Arabidopsis thaliana: one gene and its partner. The protein of the gene in region 2 interacts with the protein of the main gene of each other region in a pairwise test. Each region holds a gene or a part of one and is shown on either strand. Other genes may lie near its edges. The genes, in order: HB34 and AT1G24210.

The links.
Region 1: the proteins of AT1G24210 (region 2) and HB34 interact in a two-hybrid assay, tested with the Arabidopsis thaliana proteins (one large-scale study listed by BioGRID).

The regions. Positions count from the first base shown.
Region 1 is NC_003074.8:10,937,380-10,947,036, forward strand, and holds HB34 (homeobox protein 34), read right to left. Parts: upstream 4,455-9,657; 5' UTR 4,158-4,454; coding exon 3,219-4,157; 3' UTR 2,926-3,218; downstream 1-2,925. Other genes in the region: AT3G28922 (pectinesterase), read left to right, coding at 8,654-8,663, 8,698-8,738, 8,835-8,969. UniProt on the Arabidopsis thaliana protein: Putative transcription factor.
Region 2 is NC_003070.9:8,570,691-8,580,263, forward strand, and holds AT1G24210 (Paired amphipathic helix (PAH2) superfamily protein), read right to left. Parts: upstream 4,495-9,573; 5' UTR 4,369-4,494; intron 3,852-4,368; 5' UTR 3,838-3,851; coding exon 3,698-3,837; intron 3,609-3,697; coding exon 3,485-3,608; intron 3,385-3,484; coding exon 3,283-3,384; intron 3,182-3,282; coding exon 3,080-3,181; 3' UTR 2,854-3,079; downstream 1-2,853. Other genes in the region: AT1G24200 (Paired amphipathic helix (PAH2) superfamily protein), read right to left, coding at 483-587, 941-1,009, 1,089-1,187, 1,273-1,450, 1,548-1,687; AT1G24220 (paired amphipathic helix repeat-containing protein), read right to left, coding at 7,968-8,072, 8,155-8,256, 8,382-8,805, 8,902-9,063, 9,375-9,477.

The DNA of each region.
Region 1 (9,657 bases), on a different chromosome or scaffold from region 2:
TAAATTAAAAAAGTAGCATATAAGGGTTGTAAAAAGACAATTTTGGTGTGGAATAATTGGTGAGAGATGATTTAGTAACACTTCATTTAGTTTTCACCCATTTTTATGTTTTTGTTATATATCTTTTCCAAAAAATAGATTCTAATTCTGAAATTTATGAGATGAAAATTTATGTTTTTTTCTACATACAACATAGTTTAAATTTTAAAAATCGGATTTGTATTTATAAAATAGTAAATAATGTTTGTAAGTAAATTTATATTCTACTATTTATGATGTATAGAAATAAAATGTTGTACTATACTATTTTCATAAATTATTCGTAATTCAATTTTAAGTTTAGAATAGAACAAAATATTTTAAATTAAATAAAGTAATAGTGGTGGTAGTGGTGGTGGGATAGTAATTTAAGTTGCAATAATAGCTACGATAATCGTAAGAAATAAAATATAGACGATCTAAATGACCGAGTTAAACCGATATGATCATCATTAAAAAACTATACCCTAAGAGATACAATATTGGGAACCCAAGCAAGCGTGGTAAACTGTTGTTGTGACATAGACAGTAGCGATGGTGGTGGGATTGACGGTAACAATGGTGATGATGATAACGATTATAGTGGTGATAACGGTAAAAATGACGGTGGTAGTGGCGGCAATACGATTGTAGTGGCGACAATACGGTTATAGCAGTGAGACAGTGATAAGGTAATGGTGACTTGGTAGTAGAGATAATAGTATAATAATATAGGTGATAGTTATATTATAAATTTTATTATGTATAATATTATTTTTTTAGAATAGAATAGAAAGTACATATAGAAAATAAAAGTAAGAGACATTAAGAGAGAGAGGGAGAGAGGGAGAGAGGGAGAGAGGGAGAGAGGGAGGGAGGGAGAGAGAGAGAAAGAGAGAGGGAGAGAGGGAGAGAGAGAGAGAAAGAGAGAGAGGGAGAGAGGGAAGGAGAGAGGGAAGGAGAGAGGGAGAGAGGAAGGAGGCAAAATTGTGAATAATACATAAAATATAGAGAATATGATTTTAGCATTTTAAAATTGTAGAAACAACAAAAAAATTAGAATAAAATGAAAAAATATATAAAAAAGAGAGTGAATTAATTGAAAACACCAGAACTAGTATTTTAAGAATGTTCATAATTCATATTAAAAAATATGATAAATAGTTTTCTGCAAATCGGATTCCATCAATAATTTGTGATTAGTAAAACGACTAAAATTTACATCACAAAATTATTTCAGTATATTCCACTAAAATTAATTTATAGCGGAAATTAGGTCATCTATGTTTCCAAAAAATAATTATATAAATTAAAATAAGAAGTAGGAATTTTGTTAGCAATAGTTACGTCAGGAATAATTCAAATTAGTAAGTGGTGCACTGTGCACATGGTATATGGCAGTTAGGGCCATAACCTCACCCTGTGTTAAAGTTTGTCCCTACCACGAAAAAGAGATTTGTGACTTCACGAAATCTGTAAAATAATAGCAAATATATATTAATTTGTTTATTAGCATAAATTTAACAAATTCTATTTGGTGATAACGTAAAATATATATATATATATATAATGTATAGATCTTTACCAAAATCTCTCTCCATATATATTGAACCAACCCTTAGTTTTGACCCAAAAACCCCTTAATTAGTAAAACTTATTAAAAACGTAAACCATTTTTCTTAAGTAAAAACTTGAACCTCAGATTTTTTCGATAAATTTCTGTAATCAAGTGAATTATCACTGTTTAGATTTTTATTCTATTACAACATCATTCAACAAATAATTTGATTTTCTAAAACCATAATGATAATATAATCCAAAATTTTCTTTTTTTATAAAACATAATTAATAGTACTACCTATTTAGTATTTACAAACGAATGCACAACAAACAATTCTATTGTAATATAAAATTCATTGCATATATTCATTCATAGGTCAAATTTAATTGACAATTCACATAGAAACCCAGATATTCTATCTACATTATATTATACATCTTTAGATAGTTTTATCCATAAATCTAGCTAATTAGACAAAACGTATTCTCTAAGAATTAAATCCTAGACACCAAAAGCATACTACATAACATATTTTGTGCTTTCTCATGCAATATTCTAATCTAATTACAGTTTTATTAATATTTTATGTTTGGTAAGCCGACATTTATTAATCACGACTAGTATCTAATTGTCTTAAGCCTATCGCATAATCACGGCTGCATTTCTACGTTTCCCAGTTAGAAAGTTATTTAAATTATTCGTAAAGTTAATGATTAGTTCCACGCCCTAAATTAACACTATATAGCACTTTAATAATAATAGTTAGATCCCAATTATATAATATATACTTATTTGTAGTTTGCACTTTAAGAATATCGAACACTTGAGCATATATACCAAAAACGGATAGTGGGAATGTAAGGATGATAAAGAAATGGATTAATGAGGAAATTAAAATGAATTATCCGATGAATCTTTTGTTAATTAGACACCAAGATAACTAATCATTGCAAAATATATTATTAGAATAATTAATATATAAAACAAAACCTGTCTCTTTTCTCAAAGAATAAAGAGAGATTTATGAAAAGGACACCTAGATCTTAGTTTGATCGCATATTAAATTAAGCGACAAAGTACTCTTCAAGATAAGAAACCATCAAATAATATTAAATAATTAACTAAATTGCAATAGTTTATTTATGTTTGGGACTCACATTTTAGGGTTCGTTTGATTACCTAAATTGACCTATAGTGTTGTGACTAATTCGGGTGATTAGTTCATATAATCTTTCCATTAGTGGAAAAGTATTATGAAACCTTTGGGAACGTTACAATTTAAAAAGACAAAATGCTTTTAAGATAAGAAGCCAAAAAACATATTATTAAAAAAAACATTAAAGTTATAAAATTTTCCTCATTAGGGTTCATTAAATTAACCAAAATTGACTTATTATAACATAATCCAATTTGTTGATATAAACTTACTTTAAATGGAAAAATAAGACAACGTCGTGGTAATGAAATTATAATAAAATTGGAAAATTAAAAAAGAGCTAAAAGAGTTTAATTAATATTAATAAAACGTATTAACGATAATAATACCAGTGCTTACTCTCTATGATCTAAAGCTAAAAACAAAGCTTAAGCTTCCATTATTATAACTCTTTCCCTGCAAAACGACATGATGTTTTCTTCTTCACGACGAAGACGACGAGGCGTTTACGTTTCCGCCACCATCAGCTCCTCCACTATCACTCTCAAATCTCCCACCACCACCGTCACCGTCGTTAGCTAAACCGCGAACTCCATCATCGTTACTGTTCTCGCCGCCGATACCGTTATCGTTTCTCTGCACGGTGGTTGCTCCTCCGCCGGAGAATTTGAAGGAGTTTTTGTTATTATGCATCCAAACTTTGAGAACACCTTTATCAACTCCGATCTCACGGCAAAAATCACGAACTTCGTCTTCGTCACGTTTCTGAATCTTCCAACCGATTCGATCGGCGAATTCATGCATCTTCTCTTTCTGATTTGAGCTAAACTTCGTCCTGAATCGCTTCCTCGAGCCAGGCGTGGCGGAGAGATGGTTAGCCGCGGCGGCGAAGTTTAGATCTGAGAACGGTGCGGTTTTATTATTACCGGAGAGAGCTAAAAGCATGTAGGAGGAAGAGATAGGCGGCGGAGAAGATGAATTAGGACTACGTGGTAACGGAGGAGCTAGCGGAGGAGGAGGATGATGACGGTGATGAGGCTGATACTCAATTGCGGCGGTTGTTGTTGAAGATGGAAGAAGAGACGGTGGTGGAACGGCGGAGGAATCGTCAGTTTCACGGCGGTGGAAGTTACGGTGACAACCACAAGCTGCACACTTGAGAGAAGTTGGATCGGAAGGTGTTGACGAAGGAGACGGCATAAATTCGCCGCAACCGTCAAGCGCGTGACCACCAATCGCCGCCGCGTGGTTCTTGAGACATTCTTTGTAAGTGACTTTGTTGTTGTTGTGGTGGTGGTGGTGGTGGCGTTTGATGATTCCGTTACTGAAAGAGATTGGTTTAGCTGGTTGGATCCGGGTCGGAGTTTCGGATTCGGGTTCTGGTGATTTTGGAGTCATATCCATTGATCTAACTTCAAGCATCTTTATGTTTTTATTTTCTTGAAAAAAATCAAGAAAATATTAGGGTTTATGTTAAGCTTACAAAAAAAGAAAAGTTTGATATTGAGAAATGAAGAAGAAGATGGATAAAAAGAGATTAAATCAACTTTTGAAGATCATGTTTTTTGTAATAAGTTTAAGAAAATAAACTTTAGAGGAAGAAGATGTGTTATAAGATGATGATAGTGAATCTGCTCTGGTTGATGAATGTTGCTAAGAGAGAATAAAATAATTTAATAGGGAGAGATATAAAAATGTTAATAAATGTGAATAATAAATATATTTAAAATAAAAGGACAGAGCTTGAAGATGTTTAACAGAGAAAGGTAGGGTTTGATGATTTAACTATGGTTAAATGTATGGTTAAAAGTGGGACCTGTAATAGGGAGTGGGGAAATATATATAGAGTAATAAATGTCTTAAACCTAAAGACAGTCCAATTATAATTAATATTCTCATGCATTGTGACACTTCTTGTTTTTTTTTGAAGTTGGCTTCTTTTTACTTTATTCTAATATTTGTTCCTTCTGTTAAAATATGTTTAGCATTTTGTATATTTGACTATTACAATGTAATTACCGAACAACTTTGTAAAAGTTTACTTATACTATTAGGTATTATTGTAAACTAAATAGTTGTTTTTCACAAAATAATATTAAAAAAAATACTTATTCTGTTTTGTTGTTTAAAGATTTTTTCCAAAATAAGTATTGTTCTAAATTTTCAATGTAAAATCTATAAAGTATGAATCAGTTTGGTTTTTAAAATATAATATATATTAATAATTTATATAAAAATATTTAAAACGATATTATTATGAATGGAGGAAATATATGTTACCAGCAGGTAACTATATTGAAAAATGAATAATCTCAAATAAATTCAGTGGTTATCATTTGAAGTCATTCAGCCACCTTTAAAATAAATTCAGCCATCATCAGTTAAGGGGTTGATTGGTTCTCCTTCTACTACATGCAAACGCATCATTTACATGTGGTAACAATTGTTAGTGATTGACAATAATCATATAAATCGCGGGATACTGCTCGGATCGCTCGATATCAATACATTTCAAAAACTCCTTCCCGCAAACGTTTGTAGTTGTGGATGGTAGCGGTTGAATTAAAATATTAAAATAATAATAAATAATCAACATATTTGTAATTAAGATAAATATATATAATTCTGTATATATCTTTTCATATTTGTATCTAATCCTATATATTATATTTATTTTGGATCTTTTTTATTTATTTAATTATTATTGCATCTAGTCATAAGATTTCTGCAAATGCATCTATTTTGAAACGTTAAATTAGTCGTTTAAAACGCTTGAAACCACAATATCTCGCTTCCGCAAATTTCCGCAACCGCAAGCGAAACCACAGCCCCGTCCGCTGCAATTAAACCAGTCATGTCTTTAGTCATATGCAGTTAAATTCTTCGGTTACCATAAATAGATCCTATATCAAATTCGGTCTTTTGGGTTTAAAACTAAGACCTAATGTCTAAAAACTACCGTCATTCAAGGTCATAGACTAAAATCTAAATTAGTATCGGAACTTACTAAATATATGTAATTTATATTTATTATTTAAAATATTCAAATTTTGATGATTCTCTGTCATGTGCGGTGGTGTGTACAAACAATCAAGCAAACGCCATGGGCCAAGGCCAATGTGTTCGTACCAAGCGACCATCGCCGAGAAAAACGAAGTCGGTGGCCAAAGTTTCTTCTGGGCGATCACATCAAGAGCATCACAACTTGCTCCTTCTTTCGAACAAGCAAAATACGGCTAAAACCAAAAAAAATAAAGAAAAACATTTCAGAACAAAGCCAATGATGACTAAACCATAGTGATGAGAATAATCACTATACAAATGAATTGGCAAATAAGAAGGTCGTATTGTACGCATGTTTTTGGATTCTGAAATCACAAATTATTTTCCAACGAATGATTGCATCATTGGACCGAGAAATTCAACCTATCGATCGGTAACCAAACACGAAAAATATGATCCTTCGATTTTTTTTTTTAATTATCTCTCAATCGGTTCGTACACCACCATCAAACATCAGTTAAGTGGTACGTGAAATATTAAACCACATATTACGTCCGATATAACAATCTTTGCCTTCTTCGTTTTTTGTCACAAATAAATTATGTGCATCTATGTGTATTTTGAATTTCGTACTACAAATATTTCTGTACATGGATTAGATATACAGATTCGGTGCATAAAAATTATGGTTAATGATGTCTATTATGAGAATAAGATGTATATTATGTTGGGGACTAAGTTTTCTTTATTGTTTTTTTTGTTTGATGATAAAGAATTATTCTATTTTCTTGGTCGAAAGAATGATGGAACCACATTTTTCTAGATCAGGAATCAGATTATCAGAAGAAGATAAAACAATATTTTTTTTTTGTACGTTTATTAGCTATAATGCATTAGTTTCTAACTGTGGCTATTAACTTAGACCGCGAGAGATTAAGAACATATTTTTAGCTGACCCGAACCAAATTAGTGATATACTGTAAAACGATTTTGGACAAGTTTCAGTGGCCCAATGGACTATATTAAATTACTATATTACTCCATCTTAGACAATTTTTATTGATGGTATCTTAACATAACTATTAATTAAAAAATATGTCTTATATCTAACTAAAGTGTTTTAAAGTCTTTTAAATAAGAGATTTTTGTTAGTTATAAGCTATTATAAGACATTATAAGACATGTCTCTTAATTTAAAAATTATTTTAAAAAACCATTAATAATATACTCTTAAAAAGATAAATACCATTTTTGTCTCTCTACACGAGGACCACCTGCGTATTTTTTTTTTTTAATTAGTTGAAAAATATACTAAATAGACTAGTGACTAGACTAATAGTCATTGTCCAAATATAATTTAAAAAACAATCATTTTATTATTTATTATTTTAAAAATAGTCACCTTTCACTATTTTTTTGTACACTAAGATTCATACAATTTATTTAGTGTGTAAATATAAAGAAATATACATAAACTAGTTTCACTATTTTTTCCACTTAGTCTCTTCCAAAATTTGATTCCATTATAATTTTTTTTTCCAACCTAATCTTTTATTTCCTGATTATATATATATATATATATATATATATATATATATATATATATATATATATATTCATTTTCACAATTCATTGTAACTTAAGTTTCACTATTTTTATTTTATCTTTTAACGATGTCTTATTTTAATTTTGTTTTGGTCAAAAACATATAGTATGTGAGTTTTAAGTTGGATAATGACACAACGATTTCACTAACACCAACATTAGATTGCATATTCTTATATATTTTAAATTTCAGATTTTTGTTATTATTAAATGTATAATGTTTTGGATGGAAGATTTTGCATAGTTGGAGGTCGATCTACTCTTTTTCTCTCAGCCTTTGACTTTCTTGTGAATGGATTTTGAGTTAGTTGTCTGGATAACCTCAAAAAGCTAGAAGACTCACGATTGACGCATGCTTTCCAAATTGTATTAAAATTAGATAAAAATTGTATTTATCATTATATAATATTTTTATCCGTTAAATGAAAACACAAAATATTTGAAAGAGAATAACTTTATAAAACTGAATTTTTGAATACCTGATGAGAATATTATTAGATTTATATTTATGTTTTATTTTAAGAATTTTAATCTATATAATCATAAGTAAAACCACCAAAAATTTGGAAAAGTGGCATATAGAAATTATATTGTCTGTTTTATTTAGTATATATTGTCTGTTTTATTTATTAAACTTAAGTCATTTAAAATTAAACTGAAATGAGGTAAACTTAACTTACAAGATTAGGTAATATAAAAAACTATAATTTAAACAATGTTTGTTGTTAATTATGTTTTGTTATATGTTAAATTTTTAAATATTAACTAAGATATAAATTTGATATGATATACGTATTGTTTTGATAAAATCATAGCACTTATCCATTAAGATAAAATTCGTAGAATCAAAACAAACTTTATTATGATAAAATAGATAGTTAAATAGTATTGTAAAATTGAATGTATAAGACTAAAATTTGGTTTTAAAAAATATACTAAATTAAATATAGAAATAGAGTGTAGATTACTTTAATATGATGGAGTGTGTATAATTATTATGAAATAGATTGATAAAGTTTTTAGAAAATTGAAGGAAAAACGTGTATAACAAAATAGAATGGTAATAATTGAAATTTGATTTTTAAAAAAATAACTAACTAAAATATTAAGAAAAGTATGAATTACTATTTAGAATTCAAATATCATCAAATAAATTTATATTTAATTCTTACAAACGCCTAATTAGACGAACCTTATCTAATTTTAACCGTTTGAGATATTGTTTTCATTGTTTTTGTGGTTTCTAATGAAACTTTTTATTCTTTTGTAGATAGTTTATATTTAATAGTTTCTCATATGAAAAAAATCATATGTTTTATGGTATCTAATTAAATTGTTTTTCTATAATATATAGTTTCTAGTGAAATTTTCTCTCCCTCTCCCTCTCTATGTAAAGTATCTAATTGAATTTTTCCTTTACTCGTAGATATTTAGTACTATATGAAATTGATACTTAACTTAATGTTTTTGTTCATCATTTTTTGATATAAGAACTCGTCTCCCGCACTAAATTCTGGAATAATGGGTGCTCAAGCGGTGTCTCTAAAGGTTGTAGGAGACAAAGCCGCGTTCTATGGATGTGGGTTATATGGAAAACAAGACACACTTTTGGACCAAGAAATATGACTTTCTTCAAAAAGAGTTTTTTCAAATCATCGATTACTTCATATCTGGTAATTGGAGATCGTTTTGCAAGGTTAAAAAAAAGGGTATTATCAATATGTATACATAGAAAATTACAAAATTAAGTGTCAGAAAAAGCTACTGTTGAGCCTTCTCTCTCCATCATGAAAATACCTTTATACCTCTATATCTTATTTGCTTTTGACATTAAATATTTTGTTACCTTTTAATAATAATGTTATCATCTTCTCATAATTATACAATCTTTGAAATCAAATCGTTGGTTCAATAGCTGGTAATTTGTTTATATCGTCAACTGTATTATTAACATGTTAAGTAGGTTTGTATCTTAAGTTTTTTCATCCATATATCAAAACCCCATCCATATTTCGCTAGCAATATTATCCTGATAATACATTATCTGCTAACTATTCTGATGCATGTATTTTTTTTACATGATTATTCAGTCGTAAGTTATTTTGTTTTTGCTCTTCATGCTAAATATTTTGTTACCTTTTAATAGTAATGTTATCGTCTTCGCATACATATGTGTCTTTGAAATCTAAACATTGGTTCAATAACTGAAAATTTGTTTATATCGTCAAATATATTATTAACATATTAAGTTGGTTTGTATTCCATGTCATTTCATCCATGCATCAAACCCCATCCATATTTCGCTAACAATATT
Region 2 (9,573 bases):
TTTCTTGTTTTTATTACTTCCTTTTGTTGGTTGTATCATTTTAGGAGACTTATAATTTATCTTCTTCTTTTATTATTTTTAACATTTTTTTTCTTTTGGAAGTTTTTATCTCCTTTGGTATGTGAGAGAGACATACTTAATTTTGAAAATTTTTGATATAAAATAAATTATTCATTTTTTTTGGAAATAATTTTGTAATTAAAAAGTTTTAGATGATTAATCATATTATTAATAGATGTTTTTTTTCTCTTTATTTTGGTCAACATAGATGTTTTTTCTTAAAATTTCTAAGTTAATTACTTAATGCAAAACCTATCAAAATTATTAATGGGGAAAAAATGTTCTAAAATCATTGATGTAAATGGAATCTATATTACATTACACGGTTAGATTTTGCTTAAATCTAAAAAATAATATTTGGCTAACATTAATAGAAGAATAATTTAACTCTAACTTGATTAAAACCATAAAAACGGAACATATTATTCGCCTTTTAAATTCATTTTTTTTTTATCGGCATTACTATCTTTCCGGTAGACCGAAAACTTTGTCACCTTGTTCGTAGAATAATTCCGATAACCCTTATCCTCATGTTACACATAGTAAACTCATAGGTAAGCATTGAAATAACTAGGTAAAAAAAAAAGCATTGAATAACTATAGATGATGGTAATTTTGAATTTTGATAGTGGCTATAATTTATAGGGAAAAGAAAGCTATTAATCATGCATATTAAAAAGAAAAAACCTCTACTATTATCTCTGACTTGTAACTTTAAAAAAAAAAAACTACTTATATGTGAAGCGATTGAAGTAACATAGCAATCCTTTCGTCACAAAAAACTCTGAGAAATAGTTGGCAGAAAGCAATCCAACTCTTCAAGCAAATCAGGATGATCTATGCAAAACTGTGAATGCAACAAGGCTGTTGCTGGAGTAGCTGGAGTAGCAGGCAGAAAGTGAGTAAACTCCACAAGCAAATTGTTATGATCTAGAAATAGGATGGCAACCTGATAAGATAAACGTGTGAAACTAAGTAAAATATTAGCAATAAAAAAAAAAAAACTTAGTATGAATCAATGAGCCTACCTCCCGGTAGACCGCGGTGATGGGCTTCCTATCCTTTCTGTACATGTTTAAAATGTCTAAAACTGATTTGTATACACGATCATCGCCCTGAAACCTTGTCTGCAAATGAATGAATAACTAAGAGAGTAGGAAAGGGAAAAGCAGTAATTTCCTTGGACAGTTTATAACACATAAACATATATACCTTAATCTTGTTAATAAAACTAATTGCTTCCCCTAACTCGACAGGTTTCTTCTGTGAAGGTTGTTCATGATGTGTGATCATATAACCATTTGGTAAGAAGGCATTGAAACCCAAAAGTAATCCTTGTTGTTCTTTCAAGAGTTCTTTCATCCTTATTATAACACCAGATATATCAATTCTATACAACACAATAGTCGGTAATCAGTTCTCAGAAACCATGGAGTTTTACCTAAACCAAGACCAAATGCAAACATAAAAGTAGAAAGAACTTTAACCTCTGAGTTTTATAATCTATCATGATCTGAAGAAACTCGTCATATTTTTCACGTTGACCTTGAAATTTAGCCTTCACGGCTCTAAGGTATTTAAGCGCGTCATTTGTAGTAGGCTTGTGTGCGCCTCCTTCTCCAACCATGGTTTGAAGTTTAGGAAAGCTTTATTGTTCAAAGAGAGGCAGCCAAAAAAAAAGGTGAAACATTATTAGAATCAAAAGATGGTGCAAGGTTTCTTCAAAAAATATTGGATCCTTGAACAACCCCAAAGTCTTAACAACAAAACAATTCATTCCTCAAGGTGATCCATTATTAGTTATCACACGTAACCTACACATGTGAAGTAGTCAATTCAAACACAGGGCAAACCAGTCAAGTATTGGATTTAGATATGTCCTACTCTCATTCTTAACCAAAGATACCCCAATTCAGAGATTGCCATAGTATTAAGTCTGACGGGATTAGATTAACACTTTTTATTGGGGACAAAACAAAACTCATATCTAGTTTTGAGACTTCAAGTTGATTAAACTTCATCAGTCGGATTTGATATCTTATCACATATTACGAAAAATATATTCAAGGAACTCGATATCATCCCACGAATACAAATTACAACAAGCAACAGATCTAGCAACTACAAAGGCAATGAACAAAGAAAATAAAACTTGTAGTGGACGTAACGAAGATCACACAAAAAAGAAGAAGAACACATGTGTATAGGTACCAAAGACGAATGAAGAAGGCTTCACGATCACGAGCACGAAGCAGGGGAGACGAGTTTCTAGTCTCGGTAGGGTTTTGTTTATGTATTATGATTCCAAGGTTATGTAAGATTTTCTATTTATTTTAATGATTTTTTTTTATTATTTGGTGTATTTTAATTAATTATGTACTTTTTTTAAAAGGGTTAAATCATCCATTTTTGTAACTTTACCCTCCACCTCCAATATATGCAGATTAATCTTATAAAGTTTAAAATAATACGCAATATGACATTTATACGTATATTGTAAACGTTTTTACGATGATATACATTAGAATTTTAAAATTTTGAAGGCAGAGTTGAACTCTTCATCGTGAGGGTTTAGATTTAATATATTACATGTCAATATTTTACAAAATTAATAGTAAAGAAAAAAACAAAGAAGGGTTACAATGCGTATTATTTTAGACTTCATAGGATTAATCTCAATATGTTGGAGGTGAAGGATAAAATTGTAAAAATGGATGAGTTCGAAGTGTTTTTTTACACAAAACCCTTTTTTTAACAACCATTAATTAAGTACATAACAAAACTAAGAAATGAGTTTTAAAAAAATGTTTGATCTTTCATAGGTTTTTCATCAGTAAAATTCAACATAAACAAAATAAGGTTATGAGAAGTATTTTTGAGTTTTGTGACACTTTGAGTTTCAATCATCTGAGTATATCAAATTCAAATCTCATCCTCTTCATGGTGAAAAGCAAAGATTTAAAACCTCTACAAAAGAAACTATACACTCCATTCTCATTCATAAAAAATACATCACTCGTTATAATTGTAGTAGTAGTGATGCTGTTGATACAGGGTTCTTTGTGAAAAATCTGAGAAAGTCTTCAATCAAATCTTCATGATAGAAGAGAACATCAATGACCTGCAAGATAATATTATTTCTAACCAAATCAAACAAAGAGAACCAAAAAAAAAAAAAAAAAACACAAGTACACAAAATAGCCCACCAAGAACAAACATTACCTCCTCTTGCACCTCCTTTACCGACATCTTTCCCTCTTTAAACATCTTCATTAACCCGCGAATTGCCCCCACTACATGAGTATCAAGGCTCTGAAACCGTGTCTGCAGATGGACAAATTTGCTCTAGTTAGTAAAAGAGGAATCAAAAAAGGATTTTGGTGTTTCTCTCCAAGGATTATTTGTCATTTTAGCATGTGTTTACCTTGAGCTTGTTTATAAAATCCTCTACAGAAACAGGTGGAAGGAAGACACTGAAACCAAGAAGAAGATCCTGATGATCTTTCATCAGTTCCTCCACCCTTGCAATGACACTATATTTATCGACTCTGCAAAAAGAGACTAGTAACATCAGAATCAATTCACAGTTGAAAGTAAAGACCAAACCAAATATAACAGGGAAGAAAAGAATACATACCTATGATCACAAACACCATTCAAGAGCTTGATAAACTCTTGATATTTCGTAGGTTCATCATGAAATGTTTCCTTCACAGCAATGATGTATGAATGCGCATCATCCTTAGTTAGAGCAGGTGATACTCGTCTTCCAACCATGGTTTGAATCTAGCCTTTTGTTATCAAAAGAAAGAGAAGATTTTTGTTCAGTAAAACAGATCACATCATTGAATTTAACCTAGAAGCTATTATTACCACTTGAAGAAACAGAACCTAGAGTGCAGAAATCTTAATAACATTACTTAAATCTATGATTTGCCTCAACACTGAAATTGAACAAGACATAAAGCTGCAATAAGCTAAATTTCTCAAAATCCAAATAATTGTCAAAACCAAAATCAACAACAACTAATTCATTCCCATCAGAACCAACGTGAGAACTTGTGTAAAGTGGCCAATATCAACACAGAGCAAACCAACCAAACACTTAGAAGTCTTAAAATCTCAGTCTTAACAAAAACAATAAGAAGTTAATTCGCTAATTTGAGGGTTTAAATCGGATTTGATGAAATTCAGGTAAAATTGATCACACAGGTACGAAATTAAATTCGAAGAACCCAATTCGAAATCATCCCAGAAACTACAAAATCATTCAATGACAATAAGAGAAGAAGATCATCGTATAGTTACCGAAATTCGAAGACAAAAAGGGCTTCCCTAGCTTACGAGTTACGACACACGATCTCGAAGAAGCAGGAGACTAGAACTAGAAGAAGAGATTTCTCTAGGGTTTAGTTTCCGACACTTAACGTTGGATTATATAATTAAGGATTACATCAAAAGTACGGTTTAAAAAAGGAAAAAGGCAAATCTTCTTCTTTTTTTTAATTAATTAATTAAAACTTTTTAATTGAGAAAAGTAAAAAAAGTAAAAAATGTGAAATGCTAATTTTAGTATAGGGATGATCTAATCGAAAATAGAGATTAATGTTTAGACTAAAGAGATAATTTCCCCAAAACATATATTTCTTAGTTTGACTTTGACATAACATTACATACATATATGTGTTAAATTAATTTGATATGGTTAATGTTTAGGAACTACAGTATTTTCTAATACAACATCACATTCAACAACTCTAATTAATAGTCAATAGCAACACCTAGTATACATTCCTAGTATAAATTTGATAACAACACCTAGTATACTTTGCTTTTTATACTATGTGTTAATGTGAAGTTCTAGCGTTTTAAGATATTTTGAATAATAAGAGTAACGAGTTGAAAAAAGATTAATATTATGAAGTTAATTGAAAGCAACAAAGATCATACAGCCTTATTTATAAAACACAATGGCTAAATTCATAACATAATTCCTAAATAAATAAATAAAAGAACGAATCACAAATAAATTATTCAATTTAATACAAATCTAAACCGAACTTGGTTTAGACGAACGAAGAAATCCCACAACATCACCTACCCATCTCATGCCCCAATCTAATAATTAGATCTCCAACCAATCTGGTAAAAATACATTGAAACCAGAAACCAAGTCTTGGTCTCCGTTAAGCAGTTCCTTCACCGCTGTTATGCAATCAGCCCTACTAATTCTGCAATGAAGTTATAAAATCAAAATTAATTACTTCTTCAACACGAAAAAATTGAACCGAACATTTTTAGTCATATTTTCCAAAAACTATGTATATCACATACTTGCGAACTTTAAAATCTTTCATAATCGCAAGAAAGTCTTCATATTTTTTTCTATCATTATGAAAATGATCCTTCACAGCCTTAATATATGCCTTTGCATCAATTTTGGTTGGCTTCGGCTTGTCTCCTTTATACACAAATATACTGTCTCCTTCCGACATGGTTTTCAATTGATCGAGCTGTATTTTCCAAACAAAGAGAATGATTTTTTATTATTATTTGTTTTCACTGAAGAAATTAATTATTTAATTTTGATTTCTATCTTCTCAAACACATTACCTCTTTTCTTTAAAAGTAACTTAAAATCGTTGGAAAAAAGAACAGGAATTTGCATCAGAGATCTTAATTAACAATTACTCGGATTTTTTAACAGTACATGCAATAAACATGACAATAACCAACTTTAGATCGGTAAAGTCAAAGAAGAATTGTAAAAATACTTCAGAGTAACAAACCATAAAAGTAAAAAAGTTCAAGGAAAAGCAAACCAGAAATTTACTACGGGTAGAAGCTTCACCACTAGGACATGAATCGTTTTGAGTTGTATGGGGTGTCTTTATATATCAAAAACCTTGCAGAAATCAGTCCATTTGCTATTAATATCTTTGTAGCAATGAGATATAATTGTATTGTAATATTAAATGAAATAAACACATGTCAGTTTGTAAATAAAATTTGACATTTATTAAAATTTACAGATTTTTAATGTAAATTTAGTAAATAACAAATTAAATTGTAAATTTTTATAAGCATATCTGTCAAAGCTTTATTTTATTACTTCAACTTTTTCGAGATTTTAAAATCACTTTTGTTACAATGTAGGATTTACTATTACAATTTTTTATATATATTATAATATTACAATGTAGCATTTAGTATTAAAATTATATATTTAGTTGATATTAAAAAATAGACTACATGTCAAAACTCAAAAGAATTGATGCCATAGATCTGAAAATAACTTAGTAAATTTACTTTCGTAGTTTTTCAAATCAAAGCCGACTAGCTGTAACTTAGTTTCTGTATGATTCGTGACGTGATTCAAGAACAGAACAAATTAAAGAACGATTTATCTTTATTATAACTAGATGAACACCCATGTTACGCATGGGTTTTTGTTTTTAAAATTGTTGGAAAATATGATTATGGTTTTTTGTTGATTTTGATGTTCATTTTGATAAATTTATCTATTTAATATAATTATTATTTTTTATGATTAGATTCATCTATAACTCGAAATATCAATTCTACTACAATATGTATATTTATATATTTATTATTCTAATATTTCACTATCATGATCACATACTACAACAATATATGATATACTGATACAATGTACAGTATGTAGTTATATTACTTATGTGTTTTGAAACTTGTCTAACTTAATTGTAACAAACGATTATTTATTCCATATACTCTCTCGTCATCTAGTACACAATCACATCATGATATGCTAGTAATTTAAGTCAACACTGTAATTTTCATCCCTACCATAAAGTCATATAGAGTCTCATTTTTTTTTTTGTATGTCTAATGTCTTGGATGACTATTACGTGAAATGTACATAAAGAAGGTCATATGATAAATCAAATTCACAAAACATAATAATAAAAAAATATCCAACTAAAATTACTAAATTAATATGAGGTTAGGTAGCAAACATCTAAACTCCAACACAAGTAAAATTTTAGCCATTATGGGTTAATAACTATTGATAAAAAAATTAATAAAATAAGTAGAAAAGAATGAAAGTAGTGCTTGATACATTATTATGATTTTTTATTTATTGATTATTCTTAGAAAATTCATTTAAGAGTGATATTAATGGAGAATTTAACACAACAAAAGACTTTTGATTTTTTCTCAATTATTTTTGCTAGTTTTTTTAATTTAACTAATGTATAATAACACATGTCATTTTCTTGTATGATAATGTGTCACTCATATGGAGAGTATTGGCCAACTTTCATATATATGATTTAGAAACTCACTCAAAACTAAATCTCTCTAGGTCTTTAGAACAACTCTCTAAAGCCTCTTAATCTCTCTCTTGTGTCTTATGGAACATCTCTCCATAAGCGCTTATTTATAGTTATTAAACTACTCCTAATCTTATAATGAATAGAAAAACTTACGAACTTATCCAACTTGACTTTTATTTGTATTTTCTATTTTCTTATTATCTCTTCTAAAATCTTCTAGAGAGATTACTTGCTGCTCAAGTAATTGGAATTATCCAACAGTTTTTTTTCAAAAATTTATTCTTTTTTTTGGTCAACAAATACTAGTAAATTTACTTTATAATGTTTCGTAATAAATTAAAATACACACCATCTTATGGTTTAAGTTTTAGATATTTAAGGTGTAACTTTAATATTATTTTAAGCCTTTTGCAAAAAAAAAAAAAAACTTTTATTTTCTTTTGTGTTACGAATTTAGGATGATCTCAGCTTGGGCCGAGGTGCATATGTGCATTTGATGATGTTGTGTTCTCTCCTTAGACTAAGAATCAAACTAAACTCAAATGTCTTACAAAAGAAAACTATAACACTCTCTTCTCGTTAGAAGCTCTACTCTTTTCCATCTCTTAAGAACCTATTATAGGCAGAGATTCCACTGAAATAGTCGCCAAACTCCATGACTAAATCTACATGATTCTGAAGAAGTGAAACGACCTGCAAAGTTAACAAATCAAATCAAACCAAAGAACTAAGAGAGTGAAACATACAACACAAATTGTCCCACCAAGAACACTACCTCCTGATACGCCTCATCTTTGGACTTGTTTCCCTCACTGTACATTTTCAATATCTGGAGAACTGAGTTAACTACATGACTACCATAGCCCTGAAACCTTGCCTGCACATGGACAATTTTGTTACTTAAACCGCAAGTTAACATATACTAAACATCAAAATGTTGTTTCCATTAGTTTACCATTTCAGCAATCTATACCTCAAGATTCTCCATAAAATTGGCGGAACGTTTTTTTTGTTTTTATTAGACTCAGCTGGAGGGATGGTTCTCTTAGCCTTTGGAATGAAGAAGGCTAAATGATCCACAGGACGGGTGGTTCTCTTATCCTCTGGATGGATGGTTTTCTTCGCTTCAGAAGGCATGATTCTGTTTCTATTAGCCTCTCGAGGGATAGTTCTCTTAGCCTCTCGAGGGAAGGTTTTCTTCGACTTGGGAGGGATGGTTCTGTTAGCCTTGGGAGAAATGGTTCTGCTAGACTTGGGAGGTATGGTTGCCTTTGGAGGGATGGTTCTACTAGCCTCGGAGGAGATGGATCTGGCAGCCTCTTCGTATTGCTTAGACTTGGGAAAGAAGACACTTAAAACAAGAAGCAGCCTCGGGTGCCCTTTAATGATTTCAGCCATCCTTGCACTGCCATTAGCTTCTTCGATTCTACAAAACATCAGAAAAAAATTCACAAGGTGTGTGTTTGTCACAGTTGAAAAACTTGGTAACTAAGAACCAAACCAAACGTAAAAAAATTCATACTTATGATCACAAACATCATTCATGAGCCTAAGAAACTCGTGAAACTTTGCAGGTTCGTCAAGAAATGCTTCCTTCACATCAGCGATGTATGTAACTGTTTCACGTATAGTAGAAGCGATCTCTAAACGATAATCATCATCCATAGTTAGCTTCAGTGATACTCTGTTCATTAGAAACAGAGCAGATCATCATCATTCGATCTCTACATGACAAATCAAGATTACATTCTAAAACTAATCAAAAACCAAATCAAACAAATCATTGGCTTCAACACATCAATGTCACGAACTCTTACGCTTATTCTCTAGTACCATTCATATAAGTTTCATCTTCTAGACTAAAGATTCATGTAAAATTTCATCGATCAGTATCTTTAGAACTTAGAAGAGAATCAAATGAGAAATCGATAAGAGTATTTGAGACAAACGAACCAGAAAACTCGATCTATTAACCTAATCGTCAGATGATTTCACGTGAACGAAGAAGAATAAGGTCGTGTAGTTACCGAACGAGCAAGAAGCTTCCTCTTCACAGTGTAAACGACTTCAAAGATTTCAAGAAACAAATGCACTGAGACTGTTTTGACGTATTGAGTTATATTATGTATTTATACTTTTACAATATGGACCATTAACTCGCATTTATATATCTCAGAAGAATTTGATATTCCAT